3 linked regions of the Cricetulus griseus genome follow. The protein of the gene in region 1 interacts with the protein of each later gene in a pairwise test. Links are inferred from orthologs where the notes say so. Each region holds a gene or a part of one and is shown in the gene's direction. Other genes may lie near its edges.

The links. The genes of interacting proteins can lie anywhere in the genome.
Region 2: the proteins of Erlin1 (region 1) and Fa2h interact in binary tests that used the Homo sapiens proteins (3 or more experiments, as listed by UniProt). The two-hybrid records come from large-scale screens. The link is inferred for Cricetulus griseus from reciprocal best matches to the Homo sapiens genes ERLIN1 and FA2H.
Region 3: the proteins of Erlin1 (region 1) and Agr3 interact in binary tests that used the Homo sapiens proteins (3 or more experiments, as listed by UniProt). The two-hybrid records come from large-scale screens. The link is inferred for Cricetulus griseus from reciprocal best matches to the Homo sapiens genes ERLIN1 and AGR3.

What each region holds. Positions count from the first base shown.
Region 1 is NC_048596.1:17,481,428-17,488,701, forward strand, and holds the start of Erlin1 (erlin-1), read left to right. Parts: upstream 1-3,101; 5' UTR 3,102-3,200; intron 3,201-3,222; exon of another isoform or gene 3,223-3,469; coding exon of another isoform or gene 3,470-3,488; coding exon 3,489-3,601; intron 3,602-5,273; coding exon 5,274-5,355; intron 5,356-7,274. UniProt on the Homo sapiens protein: Component of the ERLIN1/ERLIN2 complex which mediates the endoplasmic reticulum-associated degradation (ERAD) of inositol 1,4,5-trisphosphate receptors (IP3Rs).
Region 2 is NC_048596.1:187,796,676-187,804,094, reverse strand, and holds the start of Fa2h (fatty acid 2-hydroxylase), read left to right. Parts: upstream 1-3,278; 5' UTR 3,279-4,780; coding exon 4,781-5,191; intron 5,192-7,419. UniProt on the Homo sapiens protein: Catalyzes the hydroxylation of free fatty acids at the C-2 position to produce 2-hydroxy fatty acids, which are building blocks of sphingolipids and glycosphingolipids common in neural tissue and epidermis.
Region 3 is NC_048598.1:165,787,341-165,794,602, reverse strand, and holds the start of Agr3 (anterior gradient protein 3), read left to right. Parts: upstream 1-3,121; coding exon 3,122-3,227; intron 3,228-7,262. UniProt on the Homo sapiens protein: Required for calcium-mediated regulation of ciliary beat frequency and mucociliary clearance in the airway. Might be involved in the regulation of intracellular calcium in tracheal epithelial cells.

The sequences.
Region 1 (7,274 bases):
AATTTCCACATAGGGCCTTAAAAATCTTAAAAAAGAAAAAAGAAAAAACACAACAAAAAACAGACACTACTTCCTAGTAGCCTAATAACCTAGTGCTTTTGGTTTATAGAGGCTAAGTAGAGACAGCTCTGTCTCAGCAACTTCCCAGAGTTGGGGCAGGTAAATGCTGCTCCCAGCCTGTACCATGGGCATAAGGTTCAGCTCTCACAGACCTAAGTGGGACTGAGCCAGCTTCCAGGGCACAGCCACACCACACAGGGAGAGTTTAAGGCTTGGCTCACTTAGTCAGAGAAGGCTACTGGTGTGCAGTAAGCAGTCCTGACTGGATAAACCTCTAAACAGGTACAGTAAAAATGGGTATAGAAAAAAAAATAGTTTAAAAATAATAGGGGCTGATCCAGGCATTGGTGGCACACGCCTTTAATCCCAGCACTTGGGAGGCAGAGGCAGGTGGATCTCTGTGAGGTTTCTTTCCTACGAGAGATCGAGGACAGGCTCCAAAGCTATACAGAGAAACCCTGTCCTGAAAACAAAAATAAATAAATAAAATAGGGTCTGGAGAACACTGGCTCCTCTTCCAGAGGTCCTGAATTCAATTCCCAGCAACCACATGGTGGCTCACAACCATCTGTAATGAGATCTGATGCCCACTTCTGGAATGCAAGCATTCATGTAGCCAGGACACTGTATACATCATAAATAAATAAAAATCTTTAAAAAAAAATAAAGCTTCAATCTCAGCACTCAGGAGGCAGAGGCAGGCAGATCTTTGTGAATTCAAGGCCAGCCTGGTCTACAAAGCAAGTTCCAGGACAGCCAGGGCTACACAGAGAAACCCTGTCTCAAAAAAACAAAACAGGAAAAAAAAAAAAAAAAAAAAAAAAAAGACTTACTGGATGGAAAGTATTAGCTCCTCACTGTATGTTTTTCTCTAAGAGGTGCTAGTACTACTCTCTGTATCTAAAAACATTAAGATCTCATCATTTCAACTGATGACATCCCCATTTTATTAATACTGTCATTTTCCTAGTCAGCCAAGTCTGAAAGCTTGGAGTTGTCTTTTATCTTTTGGTTTGGTTTGAGACAAGGTCTCACTATTAACCTAGCCTAACCCAAACTTGCCCTTGCCTCAGTTTCCAACGTCTGTTACAGATATGTATGTACATGGCAATCTTCTGTTTTTTAAATCAAGTATCAGTGTTTCTTTATGATGGCAATTCTATGCCTGTCATCTGAATGATGGATGACTGGCAAACTCTAGATTCAGTAGCTCTAGAGTCTGGATGCTCTTAATAATAAGCCTTTATTGGGTACTTGTTGCTCAGAAGTTGCTAACCTACATGGAAAGCTCAGAAAGTGTTTTGGTTTTATTTCTGTTGTTTTAAAACAGTCTCACTGCACAGACCTATGCAGGCCAGTTAGCTTCAGACCTCAGTGCTACCCCTTCCTTTGTGTCCTGAGCTAGAATTACAGGTGTGTGTGGCCTCACTTGGCAGACTTGAAAGTAACACAGGCAAGTCAATAAAGGTGTTCACCTCAGATTCTGAACATGTAATTATTGTTTATTTTTTTCCCAGAAATAATGCATTTTTTAAGTATCAAAGTCATTGGTTGGACAGGTAGTGGTGGCACGCTTTTAATCCTAGCACTGGCGGCTGAGGTTGGGGGATCTTTTTGAGTTGAAGTTCAGCCTGGTCTACAGAGAGTTCCAGCAAGTTCAGGACAGGCTCCAAAGCTACACAGAGAAACCCTGTCTTGAAAAAACAAACAATCATCAGTGCAAGGATTTGCCATAGGTCCATTTTGATGGGACTTGACTGGAGTGAGGTTAGTTAGCACCATAACCTTGGGCCTGCTGTTCTTTGTTTCCCAGCTTCCTGTCTTTCTTCACTCTCAGTGAGACTGCTTTCTGGTATTTTCCTGCACTGGAGTTCAGAAATCCTTCCACTCTTGTCCAGTTGTCTCATTTCTGCCCTTAATGAACTGGGATGACTTTATTTCCCACGTGCTCATACATCTCTAAACTACCCTTTTTTTTTCTTTTTCTTTTTCTTTGTTCATATACACATGGTGTGGGGTTTTTTCCCTAAACTTTATATACAAATTATTATTATTGTGTCTGTTGTTGTGTGATGAGCTCAGAGAACGACTTCATGGAGTCGGTCTCCACTTTTCACTTCTATGTAGAATCTAGGGATATAATGAAGTTATCAGGCATGTCCTCAAACACCTTTACCCACTGAGCCGTCTCACTAGGTCCACATGGTGTGAAATTTAATAATTCGCAGTGAGATAAAAGTTTCAGGGATCTGGATAGACGGCTCAGGCTAAGGGCCCAGGCTGCTGGTCCAGAGGACCCTGGTTCGATTCCCAGCACCCATGTGGCAGTTCTCTAGCTCCAGTTCCTGGGGATCCGATGCCCTCTTCTGACTGCTGAGGGCACCAGGCACACGGGATGACATGCATGTAGGCAAAACACCCAAGCAAATAAAAAGTCCATCTCCTTGCCATCCAGTTCTTCTATCAGCAGAAAAGAGCACCCCAGACTTTAATCTGGTTCTAGCCTAGCCTACCATACTCTCCACCGTTTTTCCTTCGCGGAAAAACAAGCCTTCACTGTTCACGTTGGCCTCCTGACAAGACAATCCGGATCTCCACTCTGTTCCTGTTCCTGTTTCTGGGTGGCCTTCAGAAAACACTCTGGTGTAGCACAAAATACTCAACCCAAGCTTGAGTGATTAAATACACAGATTCCTCCGCTGGACGCACACCCCTCGTTCCTCGAGTCTGGTCTGGCAGCTTCCTTAGTGCAGGATGGGATGTGCAGCTGAAGAACGCGCGTCCCTTGCCAGTTAGGCTAGATACAGACCGTACAAGGATGAAGGGACAACCCCTACTCTGAGGGGCTGAGTCCTCGGGACCGGAGCGCCAGCACTAGCCCCGGTCCCAGGGGTCAACGCCAGCCAAGCGACTTCAACCGCCCGCGACTAAGGCTTTGGGAAGCACCGCGCTGGGTGCGCCTAGGCCAATTTTGTCCCGCCCGCTCACCGTCTCGCGAGTCGCGGGCGGGGGCTGCGTCGCGTGCGTCCCCGCGCGCGCAGCCGCAGTGCCGGGAAGGTGGGCGGGGCCGGCTGTTGGCAGCAGTTGGCGGGGCCGGGAGGCGGCTGCACGTGCGGCCGGGGGCGATGCGTCACTGACCGGTGAGGCGCGGCTGAGGGGTCGCGGTTCCCCGGGTGCCCGAGGCCAGGGCCGTCCCCTGTTGAAGCCGTCCTCCGCCGGGGGAGCCGGGGCAGGGGTGTCACGACGTGCGCCGAGCCGGGGCCGCCGGCGGCGGCGGCGCGGGGGCTGGCGAGGGGCGAGCCAGGGGCCGGCGCGCGGGGCTTCCCGCCTCAGCCCGCGACCGGACGCGGGCTCTTCGCAGGGTGGGGACCGGCCTGTCACTCAGGGCACTGAGGCTCCTGTGCTTCCCATGCCCAGGAGGGACAAGGATGAACATGACTCAAGCCCGGGTTCTGGTGGCCGCGGTGGCGGCGCTGGTGGTGGTCCTCCTCTACGCCGCCATCCACAGGATCGAGGAGGGACACCTGGCCGTGTACTACAGGTGAGCGAGCGAGCGAGCGCCCCGAGGCGGCCGCGCACGCGCCGGTGGTCCCGGGGCAGCGAGCGCTGCAGCCCTCGGAAGGGCTTTCGTCCCAGCTGCTGGCACAAGTCACCTGTGGCCGGGCACCTTCGGGTGCCGGGCAGCTTAGGGCCAAGTTGGTTCTGTGCAGAGCTGGAGACTCCTAAGGAGGGAAGGAAGTTGTCACTGCAACCTAGATGACTTGAATTCTAACTCGTAGTCCGAACAACTGTACAGGTGTTTGCTTTGCCACTGTAGATGATGCTTTTCGGGATCTCTGGTCCTTCTTCAAGTTGTTTTTTTATTTTGTTTTGTTTTGTTTTTTGCTTTTCGAGACAGGATTTCTCTGTGTAGCTTTGGACTTCAAGGCTTTTTTTTTTTTTTTTTTTTTTGTTTCCTTCATTAAAAATCTCCCAGTATATCTGGTTATGTCTCCCAAAATCTTAATGAACATGACACTGGTGTGTCCCTAAAGTCAAAAGAGACAAAAATCACATTTATAGGCCACCTTTCCCCCTTTTTTCCAAGTCAAGCTGAGGAAGAGTGTGGTCAGTGTTGCCGCCTGGTTTACTCGGCATAGCTTTTCTTCGGTATGAACTACCACCTGCTCCTTTTGGTATGGACAAATCGGGATAGGAGTTTGTTTAGAAAAAGCAGATTTCTGCTTATTTCCATCACTCCCCCCCCCCCCACACACACTGGTATTTCTACTTTTAGATCCCTCCTGAGTCCTAGAAAAAGTACGATTTTGGTGGTATGTCTTAACAGATGGAATTCTAGCATAAGAAGTGCCAGCCTGGACCACATTTCTGTCCAGCTTGTCATTTTCCTTCCAACAGGGGAACCACAAAGAGAATATATGAAGATATTACTCCCCCCAAAATAAGTGATGAACCTGAAACAGTTTATCTTTTTAATTATGACTTTCAAACCTGTTTGTACATTCAGGGCAAGGATCAATGTGTGAATTTACTATTCATTGAATAAAATAGGGCTTTTTTGATGTATTTGTCCCTAAACACCTATTCTTCATCATTTCCAGGGGGTGTTTTCAAAGTCCACATGGTCCAGAATCTGATGAACAAATGTGTGTCTCACCTATACTCTGAATCCTCTTGCCATCCATCTTTCCATGCTTTTTTTTTTTTGTTTCCTTTATACAGACAGAAGCTCTGTCCTAGGATTTTAATGATGTATTAAAAGAGTCATTAGCCTCAGAAATTTTCCTCCTTTGAAAATTTGCTTTCCTCTTTTTTAAAACTTAGTGATTAGATGTATTGTTTTGACTTGGCCTCTTGTTATGTGCAATTAAGATACCTTAATTGAGAGTCATTAGAGTTTTTCCATAAGTATTTGTCAGAAAGCTAAAGACCTACCGGAGAGGATGTGGGCCCAAGAGCAGTGCTAGAGACCCAGTGGTGTGGTTGGTGGAGCTTATGAAACAAGGTGCAATATTGGCAGTTGACTTTGATGTATTTTCACATTTTTAAGTGTGATGGATGTTTTAAGTAGCAGTTGTTAATCTTGAGTAACTCTGTTGTAAGGCCATTAGGTTAGTAACATGAGTAACAGTGAATGTTTACTATAGCATTTTAGAATTGGGAAGAGAATTTCTCTTACTTGCAGTTTTGTCAACCACGACATCTTTTTGCAGGGGCGGAGCCTTACTAACTAGCCCCAGTGGACCAGGCTATCATATCATGTTGCCTTTCATTACTACGTTCAGATCTGTGCAGGTGAGTGACTCCTAGGGACTCCAGATAGACAGGTGTGACAGGAGTTACCACACTTGTGGGTGGAGATGGATTTCCTTATTGCTTAAGCAAATGTTGTTATTTACTTAATGTGGAGTGAAAGTTCAGAGTACAACTGTCCTAACACAAGCATTGATTTCAAACCTTCTTGCCTTAAAGTGAGTTGAAAGTATGCATTAGGCAGCTTATCAAGACTTACTCCTGCCATCTATACAATGGTGTTAGCAGGTTTTCTGTTACTTCAGTCAAAATAAAAGTAAGAAGTGGGAACACAATTAGGAATACAAATCAGTAATTACTTGGTTTAGAACTGTTTGGTTTCCATAGAGGCAGGCTCCTAGGCTACTGTTAACATGGAGGAATGAATTTTTATACACAGCTTTTCGGGCCTCACATTTTTGCCTGGTGCATTAAACACAAATTTATGAGGAACCTGAGTGCATATGGTACTTTAACATTTTAGGATATTTGAATTAAGTATCTGGTTCTTGCATAAAGTATCTTGGCCATAGGACACAGTTAATAAATAAGCTTGATATTACAAGATGGCAAAATAGGATTAGGCTCTAACTAATTTTGCAAACTCAGTGATATCATAAATCTTTGAATTCTGCTACAGATTTTTCAGGAAACAGGAAAAGTCAATTTTATTAATATTATCACTGAAATTTTCAGCTTTGTGCTAAGTAAGAGTTATCATGAATAGCTAACTCTCCCAGGTTTCTTTCCAGTCCCCTTTTAGGGCTTGTGCCTAGTAAGGTGAAATATGGTAAACATGATTTCTTTCTCTAGTCACAGTGATTCCAAGATTGGCCTCCCATATTTTATTCATAAAGTTTTTTAAAATTTAAAACCATATTTTACATATAGTAATATAGTTTACATGTTAAACAGCATTATGATAGAATGAATTGATACATTTTTTAATTTATTTATTTTTACTTTATGTGCATTGGTGTTTTGCCTGCATGCTTGTCTGTGTGAGGGTGTAAGATCTTGGAGTTACAGACAGTTGTGAGCTGCCATGTGCTAAAAATTGAACTCTGGTCCTATGGAAGGGCAGTCAGTTCTTAACCAGTGAGTCATCTCTTCAGCCAGAATTGATATAGTTTTCAACAAAAGGAAAAAAAGTGAAATGTGTTAGGTAACAAAACCTCTCCCTTAGAAAAAAATGTTTATGTTATTTTGTAATCAGTATGACAAATGTATCCAGTGACTAATAATGTCCAATTCCTATTGCACTTTCTGTTCCTTCTTGTCTTGGTTAATGTTGTCATTCTTTGTTCACTATCTCTTCTTCTTTCTACCGCCCTAATCTTGCAGTCTTTATAGGCTCATCCCAGTCTCTTTCCTCTTATCTTAGCTCCCCAGCAACTCTTTACTAGTCTGGAAGTTAGCAACAGCATCATCAGACTCAGAGATCAGGTCTTCTTAGGTCTTGTTCAAAGCCAGGTAAATCTGCCTTTGCCTTCCTGAAACTCACTGTTAAGTATGGTGCAGCAATAACATAAAGTAGATATAAATAATAATAGTAAATAGATTTTAATTATATGTATGTAGCAAATGTGCATGATAGTAATAAACCGTCAGAGATGAAGTGAAATTAATAAAAAGATTTCAACATAAAGTATTCTAATTTGCATGTTTAGGTTGTTAATTAATTAAAATTATATTTTAGAGCCAGTGTAACAAAATAGGAATGTTCTTTCTTGTGTTAAAAAAAAAAAGCATTCTCGGCAAGAATTGTATTAATAAAACTTTTTTTAAAAACTTTATTTTATTTTTATTTTGTGTTCATTGGTGTTTTGCCTGCATGTATATCTGTGTGAGGGTATCAGAAGCCCTGGAACTGGTATTACAGACAGTTGTGAGCTGCCATGTGGGTGCTGGGAAATGAACCC
Region 2 (7,419 bases), about 170 Mb from region 1:
CAGGAAGCTGAGAGACCATGCTTCCAGTATAAACATGAAGTAGAGAAAATGAACTGGAGATGAGGAGAGACTATATATACTCTCCAAGTCCAGGCAAGTGACATGTTTTCTGCAGTAAGCCCATGCCTCCTCAACCTCTCCAAACAGTGCTGCCGGCCGGGGATGATGTGTTCAGGAGCAATTGCATAGGATCATTATTTTCTTTTTTTGTTAGATGTACTTATTTTATTTTTATTTATGTATGTGAATGTTTTGCCTGCACCACATTCATACTTGGTGCCCTCAGAGATCAGAGGAAGATAGCAGAACTCCTGGAACTGGAGCTGCAGATGACCGTGAGCCACCATTCGGGTGCCGGGAATGAAAGCTGAGTCCTCTGCAAGAGCAACAGTTGGTGCTCTTAACTGCTGAACCATCTCTGCAGCACAACTTGCTATTTTTTTTAAAAGTATTTGATAACACTATCAGTAAAGCCAATGCTTCAGAGGATTCACCAGGGAAGTCCTGCGGGGTCTAGAATTTCCTTTGAAAGTTTAAAAGTATGATTTGAGTTTTATTAATAAGCATGGGGCTATTCAGGCCATCTATTTCTTCTTTAATGGGTTTTGTCAATTTGTATATTTGAAAACAATTAGTTCATTTCATCTAACTAGCAAATTTATTGGAGGAAATTATTCATAATTTACATTTATTAACTTTTGGGGTATGTGAAATAGGTTGGTCTTCAATGTGTGTTCCTCCTGCCTCTGTAGCTTGAGTGCTACATTCACGTGGATCCACCACCATCCCTGGCCCACATCTTATTTTCTAATACCATTATCCAGTAACAGAAACCAGAGAGCTATGGAGGAATGGCTGATTCTATAGCTGCGGGAATATATCCATGACACACACGCGCCCTCTAGTGGCCAGAAGTTTGTGCAAAACTAAAGTAGAATTGTATTATAACACGAAGTATAAAATGAACATTGAATGTGTAAGTATATGAAGGAGAATATATAAATCTCATATATGTAAAAATAGCTCATAGCTTATGTAGATATTTTTCTATTAAGGAGGTAAGGATTTTCATACAGTATAGTTACTCAGAAGCTAATATACATTATTTTGTAAATTTAACACTTGTATATTCTAGGACACAGTGATTTATATCTCTAGATATATAAGCTATAGAAAGTCTTACCCATGCATACAAGAATGCTTATAATAAAAGAAAAAGAAAAAGCTAGATATGGTGGCACACATCTTTAATCTCAGCACTCAGGAAGCAGAGGCCATCAGATTTCTGTGAGTTTCAGGTTGGCCTAGTCTGCAAAGCAAGTTCCAGATCAGTCAGGTCTACACAGTGAGACCCTGTAATGAGAGAGAGAGAGAGAGAGAGAGAGAGAGAGAGAGAGAGAGAGAGAGAGAGAGAGATATGTGCTTCCCATGCAGAGGCCAAGACAAATGGAAATGCTCATACAGTGGCATAAGTCGACACTGTGGAGAGCTCAGCAACATGGATGAACCTCAATACACTATCAACTGAAAAATACAAAGCTGCACAACAACACATAAACATCATGTGCTTTTCACAGAACACAAAACCAACTTAATTCAAGCAATGTACTTGGTAGGAACACACTGATTGTTAAAAGATAATGAGGCCCGGGAGATGACACACAAGGTAGAGTGCTTGTCATATAGGTTTGAATGTCTAGACTGTGTGCAAGTTAACACACGTCTGATTTTGTAATCCCAGTGTTTCTATGATGAGATGAGTGGAAAAGATTATTTTAATTAAAAATAAAAAATACAGGCCTGGAGAGAGAAGTGGCTGAGCAGTTAAGAGTGCTTGCTGCTCTTCTGGAGGACCTGAATTTGATTCCCAGCACCCTACTAGGTGGCTCACAACCACCTGTAACTCATTACCAGGGATCCAATATCCTTTTCTGGCCATTGTGGGCACCCTCATGCATATGCATACACTCATATGAATGCCTTCCAGCTCCCACCGGCTTGAACACACACACACACACACACACGTAAAATAAATCTAAAAAATAAAAAAATAAAGGTGAAGATATGATGGGAGTGTAGCTTATTGGTAGAATGCTTACTTAGCATGTACGTGAGTTCAACCTCCAGGACAAAAAAAAAAAAAAACCAGAAACAAAACAGAACTCAGGGGCAGGAGCTACCAATTGGTAACTAGGAGGCAGAATATAGATGGTTTGCAGTACAAAAAATGGTTCAAGTTTCTGTCTTAGTTAATATGATTTTTGTTTTAAAAATTTACATATGTTCTTTTGTTTGCATAAAAAATATTTTTAGATACTACAGTCTTAAAAATAACAAGGCCAGGCATGGTGGCACACAATTTTGATCCCAGCACTTGTGAGGCAGAGGCAGATGGATCCCTGTGAGTCTGAGGCTAGCCTGATCTACATAATGAGTTCTTGGCCAGCCAGAATTATATGATGAGACCCTGTCTCAAAATAAATAAATACAATAAACTATCTGTTAGCATGCTATACCCACTGTTCTTGTTCCCCAGTACAATGTCCTGGAGATTATTTCATCAATTAGAATGAGTCTGCCTAATTCTTTCTGATGGCTACATGGTAGCCCGAGGAGCCTATTCTTGGCTGCTTTTGCCTTACCAAGTATTTGAAACACAGTAGGTATGAGAATGGGGTGAGGGTAACCATTCTAGGTCTCATTGTCCAGGCCTGATGGTTAGCTGTTTTAGCAGACCTATAGTCACCATAGAACTTTTACCTACCCCTGGAGGGTGAGACCAGTAGCCTGGCTGTATATGTTTCTATTGTTGTGGCAACAAGCAGAGGCAACCTGGAAAAAAACGTTTTCTGGAAGGGAGACAAAAGCCAGTTGGATGGGGCAACCTCAGAACTTGGAGTCTAATTACAAATCACGTGTCCATAGCTGAGAAAGTAAAGCTGTATGTGACTCTCCTTGTTATTAACAAGGCTCTGATGACACACCCAATCCACAGGCTTTGCCTCCAAGGCCTCTATTTTCCTTCTATAAAGGAGAATTCATCCAGGATTCTCTCCCAGGGTCATGAGTAAGATGAGTGAAGTACCAAAATTTAAGAGCCTATCAAAAAATTCAAGGTAACTTCAAATCTCAAGATAAATGTTTTAAAGATTTTTTTTTAAATTATGGGTTGCAGCTGGGCAGTGGTGGCACAGGCCTTTAATTCCACTCAGGAGGCAGAGGCAGGTGAATCTCTGTGAGTTCAAGGCCAGCCTGGTATACAAAGCTACACAGAGAAACCCTGTCTTGTAAAACAAAATTGTGTGTTGCAGAGTGTGGTGGTGCACACCTTTGATCTCAGAGGCAGGCATATAAGTATGAATTTAAGGCTAGCCTGGTCTACAAAGCAAGCTCTATACGAGCTGAAGCTGTACAGTGAGACCTGTCTCAAAAACAAAACAAACAAGCAACAACAGCCAAAATGTGTGTGTTCCCCCATGGAGGCCAGAGATCCAGTACCAAGGATCCCTTGGTACTGGAGTTAGTTATAGGTGGTTGTGAGCTGCCTAACAGTGGTGCTGGGAACTGAACTCTGATCCTCTGGAAGAGCAGTGGAGGGTCTTAGCCACTATCTTCTAACCCCAGGATAAGTTCCTTCTTGAAAATATTACAAGTTTTATTTTCCAGTCACCAAATGGTGTCTTACCCAGAAATCAAGAATAAAGTTATCAGTCAGAATAAACTCACAAAAGAGATGAAGTAGGCACAAATCCATCAATTACCAGGCAAGCCAGCAATCCACCTCTACCTGAGGAGGTCTCCAAAGCCCCAGCGCTTCCCAAACAAGAGGAAAATAAGGAGGCTTGAAAGAGCATTGAATCAGCTACATCTTTATTACAAGATTTCGAGGTGACAGAGATATGCTGATAGATGGGCAGATATATAATAAATTCATAAGTTAATAAAGTAAATAGTAATTCCTAAGATAAATACTTTAATAGTCTTTGACAATTCAGAACTAAAGCAAAATATCCATAATGAACAAAATAGAAAACATTTAAATAAAAGCACAATGTAGCTGTGCACCTTCCCAATCCTATTCTACTAATTATGGCTTTTAGTCCAATAAAACCTGATTTACAAAAACAACAGGAAAGCTGGCTCAGTGGTTAAGAGCACTGGACCAGGGTTCCCTTGCCAGCACACACATGGCTGCTCCCAAAAGCCTGTAACAACTCCAGTTGCAGAGGATCGACACCCTCTTCTGGACTCTACAGGCATTACATGCTCATGAAGGATGTAAATGCACACACGCACGTATAAAATAAAACCTTTTCAAAACCATCTATTTTGAAACACCCCCCCAGACCACCCACTAAAGTGTGTTTTTTAATTTTTATTTTAAATTGTAGTAAAATGTGTATAATAAAAAGTTATAGCACTTCATCAATAAATTTTCAAGCATCTAGATGCGCATTCACGTGGTACAATGATATAATTCTTTTAAATACTTCGTTATTATATACTGTGGCTGAATTTGGGGTGACTTTAAATTTTTCATCCCGCACTAGACTAGACCTCTGCCCTGTTGCTTTTTTTCTTTGACGCCTCTTGAAACTGCAGAGCGTCCCCGTTCAATCCGCTGGCACCCACCCGCAGCCGGACACACCTGGCGGGCACGCCCTCTACCTGCCCGGGGCCACCTGGCGTCCGCTCTCCGCGCCCAGCGCTCCAGCTCCGGTCCCTTGCGGGCCAATGGGGAGGTGGCTCCGGGCACCAGCCGCGTCCCACCGAGTGGCCAATGAGAGCACGGCATGCAAATGAGCAGGTGCGGTGGCGGCCGGCCCGTTGCGGCGGCCCCGGCTCCCGAGATGTTAGAGGCGCGCTGGGCGGCCGCGGAGCAGACGGCAGGGCTCCGAGATCCGAGCTCCGTTCTCCCGCCATGGCCCCCGCTCCGCCCCCCGCCGCCTCCTTCTCGCCCGCCGAGGTCCAGCGGCGCCTGGCGGCCGGCGCCTGCTGGGTCCGCCGCGGGGCCAGCCTCTACGACCTCACCGGCTTCGTGCGGCACCATCCGGGGGGCGAGCAGCTGCTGCGGGCGCGGGCTGGCCAGGACATCAGTGCCGACCTGGATGGGCCACCTCACAGACACTCGGACAATGCCCGCCGCTGGCTGGAGCAGTACTACGTGGGTGAACTGCGAGTGGACCCTCAGGTACCAGCCGGCCCGGGGCACACCCCGCTCCCTGCTTCCGACCCCTCCCCCAGCCCGCCGCTCCAGAGAGCCCAGATCACCTGCCCTCTTGGAGAATGCAAGGTGACAGCTGCTGCCCTCCAGTCCCTCTGCTTCCCCGGTTTCTCTCCAAGTAACAGGTCATTGCCCCCTTTCCTATTGCCAGGAGCCTGCCCTTCCTCTTTCCAGCGCTAGCCCCTGACCTGGCTGCATCCTCCTTCCAACAAGTCCCTTTTGCAGCCCCTGTCCCTTTCACAACTGGGATTCCTGGGCAACTTGGATTCCCGTTTCTGGCCCCAGCCACCACCACCCCTTTTCTTTCTTCTCTTCCTTCTTCTTTATCGGCCTTTCTGGCTTCCTTTCTAGTTTCAATAATAGGTTGCTAGGCTCACCTGTCCTCAGCTTCCAGCCCACCACTCTCTTGCTTCAAGGAGGCACAGATGGATCTAAAGTTCTGCTCAGCTAACCCCCAGGGCTCCGGTGGGTGGGTGGAGGACCTGGATAGCATTCTATAGATTATATCCTCCAGCCCCTGGTTTTATTTCTATCCTAAATAGTGTTGCGGGTGTGAAAGAGTGAAATTACGTGCATACGCCAGCTTGCTAAGGAAAAGAGTTCGGTACTTCTAACCCAGGCTGTGTGTGCTAACCTGTGTACTGTTGTGTGGCGGCTTGGTTTTTTACCTTCAACTCACCTCATTTTAGGATGTGAAAACAGAGGTTCTGTGAGGTTCTATAAATGTCTGAGGTCAAACGACTAGGTAGTACAAAAATCAAGTGTTTCTTACTCCAGAACCGAAGTCGTCTCCATCCCAAGCATCCAAAGGCTGGGAAACATAGTCCCTATCTACAGAAGTCTTGGTAGACTTAGGTTGGAGCCAAGCAGATGCCTTGTTCCCAAACCTGACATAGGAGTGGTGACAAGTGATTGCTCCTTGTTGCTTACTCTTGCTTTTTTTCAAGTGCTGTTAGATCTTTGTATGAAAGGACAGGTCATTCGCTGTTCAGGAGATTTCTCTTGCCATCTTATCTAATCTTTCTTTTATTCAGTCACTTAGTTCTTAAATGGATAACACTGTGCTAGGCACCCCAACTGACATTAAAACAAACATGGTTCCCATTTTCATGGAGTAAACATGCTAATGGGGAAAGGAAGGACCATACTACCCTCACGATAATTATTTAAATACATCTTATTAATATTTATAATAGTTACATATTGAGTCTGGGTTGGAGAACAGGTTCAGTAAGAGGTACCTTGAGAAAGTGACATTTTACCAAGAGCTAATTGAAAGCTCAGCTAGACAAAGTGGTGGGAAGAGCATTCCATACAGAGGGACAGTATGTATGGAAAAAAAAAGTGTGGCACAGTCAAGAGGGAGCATTAGAATCAAGGTGGCTAAGGGTTATCAGGCAAAGGAAAGAGGTGGGAGCCAGAAGTCACTGGGGCTTGATCATATGGGCCTCAAAGGCTGTGGTTCTGGGCTTGACTTGTAGAGCCATGGAAAGCCAGGGGACTTAAGCCTGGGAGTGGCATAGAAAGATTTGCATCTTTGGAAGAGTATCCTGGCTTCAGTGACAAGGAATGGAGGGAATTCCAGAGGATGTAAGGAGACCAGCTCATCCACCATGAATAGAAGGGAAAGGAGATTTATCTGAGAGATTTCACAAAGTGTCCAGAGTTGGCAATCTCAAGGGAGAGTCCAGTATAATACAGGAAGCTGGTGCTTAGTATTAGGTCTTGCTGAAGTAACAGAAAGCTTAGCAGGAAATACAAGAAAAATTGAGTACAGAAATTGGCAAGAGGTTAGGATCAGAACACTAGAGGACTGGCAGGTCTGTGACAGTTCAGGGGCTGGCCCTGTGTTGTAACTGTGTTCTACAGACAGGAACCAGAGGGTGCTGCCTCTACTCAGTACCATTCTGAATGTCACTCCTACCAGCTGCCCTGGATGGCCCCACATACCTCTTTTGCCAACCACCCAGAAATTAGGGTTTGGTTTTGCTTTGTCTTACCTGCCTGACCCCTAGGGAAAACTCAGGGGCAAAAGCCAGTTCACCTTCACTTCCCTAATGTGGTCATATTGCAAATATCCAGGTTTCTGAGTCCCAACCTGAGGATGTAGAGAAAACTAGAATCAGCCTTCAAACCCACAGACCAGATTTAACCAGCAGCCACAATCACCTGACATTCCAGTTTCCTGTCACTCT
Region 3 (7,262 bases), on another chromosome or scaffold:
CCCCTCTCTCCCTTTAAAGAAAAAACAAAGAAAGTCTAATCCCATTAGCTCTTTATTATACTCCTGTTATCCAGCCACCTAGAAGAATTTCTACTTGCTTTGTATCTAATCCTCAAAACTCGAGGCCTCTCCTCTCACTGGGAACAATGGTGTACACACAGTTTCTACATTTGTCCCCCACCCCTGCTGGCTTTTCCTCTGTTTCCTTTCTTTTTTCTTACAGTGTTGAAATCTTGCCAAACATCCAATTACCTTGGAAAGTAAATGGTAGAGGAAAAAAAAGCACCAAGTTTTTGGTGTCATTTTGTGAAGACATGTGATCTCACTGTAGAATGAGGAGAGCTTTGTCACTGTGTAGAGCATGAGAACTGGGAAGAAGCCAAGTTCTTTGGACAAGCCTGTGTTTGTGAGCAGACAGGTGACAGCACCCTTGTTGCCGTGCAGCTAGAGCAGTAGGTCAGGTGTGTGTGTCTATAAATCCACACCCCTTTGCAAAGGGAAACATCCAGAATATATTTCTAACAAGATCGGTGGGAAGCTCAGGTAAGCAAGCAAAACTTCCAGACTACTCAGTGTTCAATCTTTCAGTCTCTGCTACATTTAAATGGTCAATTAATTGTTTGCTATTTAAAAGTGAGGCTCTTGCTTAAAAGTGCGAAACATGAGATGAAACTATGTTTTGCTGCTGATATTGACTTGGTTTCCTGTGCTGGCTTCATAGTTTTACTTTTAATTCATGTTAAAAATAGAATTAAGTTAAAGCAATAGTGTTCCCTTGTTTTATGTTTTGTTTTGTTAATTTTATTTGGTTTTTAAAATAGCTTGGTTTTTTATTTCTTTTCATTTCATGTGCATTTGGTATTTTGCCTGCATGTATATCTGGGTGAGGGTGCTAAATGCCCTGGAACTGGTGTTACAGACAGTTGTGAGCTGCCATGTGGGTGCTGGGGATTTAACTTGTGTCCTTTGGAAGCAGCAGCCAGTGCTGTTAACCACTGAACCATCTCACCAGTCCCCTAAAGTTTTATTTTAAAATACAGAAATTTTCAATATTGAAGAAAATGGCTTACATTAAATTTCTTTTCAGAGATACAAGTGTGGTGTCAGGAAATGCTAGCTGGCCAATGTTGCTAAAGCCTGATGGTAGACATGGAAGTTGGTGCTTCCCAAAGGCATCAGACGCTGCTATAATGTAGTAATGGTCTGAATTCCTCCAGATGCCTGTCCCTTGCCTGTCTCTTCCAGCTAGAACTTAAGGACTCTCGGCAAGTCACATGCTGACCAAGGGAAGCACTACTCAGTCCCAAACAACAATATAGACGCTATACTGCTTTGAAAACAGTCAGTATCTTTTTTGCAACATCTAAGAAAGGTTTTCACTTTTGAATATAAAGAGGTGCTTGACAATAGTACATAAATATGTAATAAGTACATAAGCACTTGGAATTAAGAATTACTGAGTTCCTCCTCAATTCTGAAATTGGCCTGAAAATCCATAGATGTGGAAGTTGCACCATTCTCTTTTCTTGATGTAGATTTCACATATTCATCTATTCCTAACACCAAGGACTTTCCCAACACTCTCCAGCTTAAGTTTTCTTACCTCTTCCTCTAAGATCCCAAAAGATTCTGAAGCAGTTTTGAACTTTCCTCGAGGAGGATGAAGCCTCACAGCCAATCTCAGGTTTTTTAAATTTATTTTATTATTATTATTTGCCACCTATAGTGTATCTGGAGACCTTCTAGAAGCTGATAGGACTCTATTGTAGGTGGCTTTTCAACTTCTCTAGTGCGACTTTCGACCTGATTGAAGCTGACCCTCACAAAGTGGGTTTTCTGTCCCAGGCTTTCCATGTTCCCTGATAGAATCTGCCGTAGCATTCATTCCGTCTTCCAGGTAAAAGACGGCCAGACCTTAAGGGAGCAAGACAACATTCTACAATGTTTCATGACTTCCTAAACTGTAAGAACCAAAACGGATAGTGTTACCCAACATGGTCACCAGTTAGCAGAATTTTTAGAGCCTGTTGGATGGAAGGAAGTAATTTCAATAAGACTAACCTGGGATGGCAAACACCATCAGTTCAGAGATGGGACAGAAGAGACATCACTGGGAATGAGATCATACTGCCAAGAGAGGGACAGGAAAGCATCTAGAGAAACTAGGCTCTATAAACCTCCACTGAGCTGTGTCCTCCGAGATCTCAAATGCCATTTTTATACTAACTGTTATAATCACCAGGTGTTTCGTGAGACCAAATTATTGTGTCTTACTAGTCTTTCCATTTCCCACAATTCTTAGTGGAGCTAAATATAGTCAACTCAAACATAATCAAATTTAATAACCAATTATTAAATTTGGGCTAGGAAATTTCATTATTATGGTGGAATTCACTGCCAAATAACACATGTCAGCAGCAAAAATGTTTTAGGAAATTTGAATCAAACATGAAGAATATCTGTACATTTCCTTCCACTCTGTTCTTCAAATGTTTACTTTTAGCAATGTGACGGTACACAGCAGTTTTTAATGGGAAGCACTGCAAACTGATGGGCAAGGCCAACTGTTGGGAAGCCCGGGGAAGTTATGTGACGACAGAGCACTGAGAAAGAAGCAAGGCTCATCCGAGTTCTGCTTTGCTTCCTATCCAGAGCTGCAGCAGTGAGCTCACTTTGCTGTAGAGTTAAGGGGATGTTTTCAGGTATTCAGCCCAGAAAGATGAAAAGACAAAGAGCACTTGTGCGTGCCAAGAGTCAGCTTTGCCTTGCATGCTGCAGTGTGAAGGTGATTAATGAACAGGATCATGTTTTGAGTTTCACTGGGAAGCTACCCACACCACAGTGACCTCAGGGCCAGCTGGGTGCCCTCAACCTGCTCTTGAATGTCATTCTGTGCCACGATATCCAGAACTTCACAAACTTAGTATCTACTAAGATGGCTCAATGTTCTTAAATGCTTTAAAAAAACAATCCCAAAAGATTTTATAATGTGAAATCAAGAGAACTGGTTGGCATGGGGTTTATCCAAATATCTTTTAATAGCAAACTGTTGGAAATGACCAAATTCTGAAAATTATTTTCTGCCATCTAGCTGCCTCTGAGTGACTTTCTAGAAGACACGATGCTCCATTCCACTTTGGCCCTCTGCCTCTTGATGATTACAGTTTCTTCCAACCTTGCCATTGCTATCAAAAAAGAAAAGAGACCTCCTCAGACACTCTCAAGAGGTACGGTAATCTCACTGGAGTTTCAAAACTCAGTCATTTCAACTGTTCTCAAAATACCTAGTATATTCATTTATAGTTTGATGATAAGCAAAAAACTAGATATTTGTTATGTGTGACTTTAAAACAGATGGTTATAAATGGGGATAATCTATTTTAGACAGTAAAAACCCAAATTTCAAATAAATAACAGTCCTTGGGTTTGGGGTTTGCTTGCTTTGTTTTCAAAACAAAGCCTTACCATGTAGACTTGGCTGGCTTGGAACTTGTTATGTAGACCAGGCTCGCCTAAACCTCATAAAGCTCTGCCTGCCTCTGTCTCCCAAGCATTGGGATTACAGGTGTGCACCACTGTGCCTGGCTCCATAGCCACAATTTGCTGCATCCTTTGCAGACATAAAGAACTGACTTGGTATCTATAGCTTTGATTAACTATTTAGACATTTGCCTTTTGCTTCAGCTTCAGAAAATCTTCTATTTTCTTATACTTACAGTTTTACTTTGGTTTAAGAAACAAATAAATCTTCATATCCAAAAGAATAATAAAGAAACAGTCCTCAAAATTAGTTTTTTTTTTTTATTTCCATGGAGAAAAATACTGAGAATCATTTGTCCCCACACAATTGATTCAAACAATCAGAATGGCCACGCAGTGCTTGTCTGCTCTTTAGACTGCTGCTCTAAGCAGAGTGTACAGTGACAATCCCCCGCAGGTGGCTTCGAGGCCATTTGTTTCTTCAGATCTATAGAGTGCCAGCTGTGTGCCCATATTGTTTACCTAAGTGAAGTAATTCAACTTTAGCCTAGCAACCACAATCTATATGTCTAGAAAGGCAATATATATTGAAAATAAATAAAGGGTAAAATCATTTCCCTGGATAAAATTTATCACATAGCTCTCCACACAAACAAACAGTTATAAAAATAAGTAGCTTAGTGAAATTAAACAACCCAAGACTAAATTACTCATTGCTCTTCAAGCTGGTCCACAGTGGAGCTCAGTGGCATCGCTATGACTGTGGTAGAAGATATTCCAGGCAGCCCATTTAGATGCTGATCGAAAAATCTGCAGCAAAGGTTTATTACCCTTGTGTCAAGGTCAGAAGACAACTAGCTGAACTTGCTGAATATTCTCTCCTTCCACTATTTGAGTTCCAGGGACCAAACTCCAGTCATCAACTGGAGTTTGATGTCATCCCCTGTGTAGGGGAAAAGGGCCAGCCAAAGAAACATACTTTGGCCCTGCAACCAGAACCAAAGAAATGCCCCCTGACACTGAAACCAGTGCCAAAGAAACACACTTTGTCCCTGGAATCAGAGCCAGTGAAAGAAATATTCCCTGGTCCTAAAATTAGAGCCAAAAAGCTACAAAGGATGAGTAAAAGAAGCACACTTTGGCCCCGAAACCAGAGCCAGATCTGGCCCTGAACATGTGCAGAAAACCAACTAATCCCTGAGCAGGGAATCATTTAGCCAATCTGAGGTCAGGGATTGAAATCTGACCAATCCCCACCCAGGAAATCTTCCTGGGAAAACTCCACCCCTTAGAAGCCCTATACAAACCCTGTTCCTGTTCAGCTCGTGGCTGGCTGGCTGGCTGTCCTCTGCCAGCACCTCTCCTGGATACGTCCCTCCTAATAAATCTCTTGAATGAGGTTTGGGTAAGACATTCCTTCACCAGAGGAGAGAAGTAACAACTCTTAGCCAGAGCCAGAGCAGAGCTGAGTGAGCTGAACTGAACTGTAACAAGTTCTCTGGGGAAACCCTCCCCTGCAGGAGCAGAGATGATACACTAGGGAAGAATTTCCCTGGAGCAGGATTATAAGCTGCTGTGCTTCTGTGACCTGAGGTATCCCTTGGCTCCCGATTGTCAGAATACTTCCCCACCTGAACTGTGACACTCAGTATTCTTTGGCTCCCAAGTGCCAGAATCCCTGTACATCCAATCTGCCATAATACTTACAGCCTGTACTGCCATGCCACCTTTCTGGCCTCCTTTTTGGCAAATTTTATGAAAATGAATTGGAGTACATTTGTCTTAACTTTGAACAGCTTGATTCTACAACTTCAGTTATTGAGACACTGTTTGAATAGAGAAAATTATTACTAATGCTGTGAGTCACTGCATTGAGAGCTGGCTTATATTTGGCTGTCTGTTTCTGTAGGGAGCCGTTCCTGCATTCTCCATTACAATGATGGTGCCTGAAGGCACCGAATGTAAATTATTTCACAGGCGCTGGGTAATTTCCATTCCTTTGATCTCTGCCTATCCCGTGGCTCATTTGGCCTGAGGAGCTGAAGCCATTCATAGGGTAACACGTCCCAGGCGACTGCTGCCAGCCTTTATTAAGGAATGGGATTCTTGGCCCGGGGTCTCCGCTCTGGTAAGCTTATGCTCTCCTCTCAAGATGCATTAAAGCTTTCCTGCAGAAGGATCCGAGTGTCCTGTGTGATTCTTGCCGGCGAGGCCATAGCGCGGGACATCTGGACTTCTTTAAGATTGCTACAACAGTGAGAAAGGTCAAAATGGCTCCTAGTAAAAGCACAGAAGCCTCTACACTAACCTCCCAAAATAGCAACATTCCCAAGCCAAAGTCCAGAAAAGACATACCTCTCCGAATTTACCACCCTGCAGTTCTGAATCCACCCCGTTAGGGGGTCTCCGCAGTGCCGGCGATGTTAACAAGTTCCCGGGTTTCGGCACCAGATGTCCCGCGCGATATTCTCGCCGGCAAGAATCACACAGGACATTCAGATCCTTCTGCAGGAAAGCTTTAATGCATCTTGAGAGAGGAGAGCATAAGCTTACCAGAGCGGAGACTCCTGCCCAAGAATCCCATTCCTTAATAAAGGCTGGCAGCCCGCCTGGGATGTGTTACCCTATGAATGGCTTTAGCTCCTCAGGCCAAATGAGCCACGGGATAGGCAGAGATCAAAGGAATGGAAATTACCCAGCGCCTGTGAAATAATTTACATTCTGTGCCTTCAGGCACCATCATTGTAATGGAGAAAGCAGGAACGACTCCCTACATGTTTCTATGTTAGAAATGACTGTGAAAAGGAGGGGGAAAGGCAGGAGCCGGTGAAAGGATTCTGAGTACCTGTGTACAGAGCAGCAGAGACAGTCTGAGTATCATATGCACAGAGCAGCAGAGATGGGGCCAGTCTGAGTACCTTGTACACAGAGCAGCAGAGATGGGGCCAAACAGTTCATGGCAAAAATGAGTGAGACAAAAACAGAAGATAGTGAGGAAAATGAATAAGATTAAAACAGACACAAACATATGGGGACCAACATTTCCTATGTCCGTTTAACAAAAGAACACCTAGGACCTGGTCCAATGACTAGCATTCAGCAGATACTCAATAAATGCATAGCTGATGAATGAATAAAATCACAGAAAACCAAAAGGCATAGCCAAAGCTAGATACAAAAATGTAGCTATGAATCTAGACCTGGAGGAAAATTTAAATTCTGTCCATTTGGCCCATGGTGATTACAACCTAGACTGTTGGAAACATGCTCCTCTGAAGAACTATGGGTATTTGGGAAGTTATATTATTGTTCCTTCTATTCCCATGGATTGGTGAATTAAAACAAAACAGATGACTTATTAGTATCTGTGGAATTAAATTGAGTGGGAAATGAGAACTGCAATGTTTCCATTGCTAAAGCTCTAGAATTTGAGTGACATTTACAACAGATGGAAGGAGCTAGAGATATTATGGCTCTGCAGTTAAGAGCATTGGCTGCTCTTCCAGGGGACCTGGACTCAAGTCTCAGCACCCACAGGGTAGTTCATATCCTCTATAACTTCAGTTCCTTGGAATCCAATTCTGACCTCCGTGATTACCAGCCACAAATGTAGTGTATATACATACATGCAAGCAAAACACCCACACAAAAAAATTTAAATATAAATCCTAAAACCAAATACAAGCAAAGAAAGAAAAGTAATTAAAGGCTGCCCACATCCTTGAGTTGTCCTCTGAGCTCCACATTTGGGCTAAGGCACATTATCCCCCACATGCAAATAA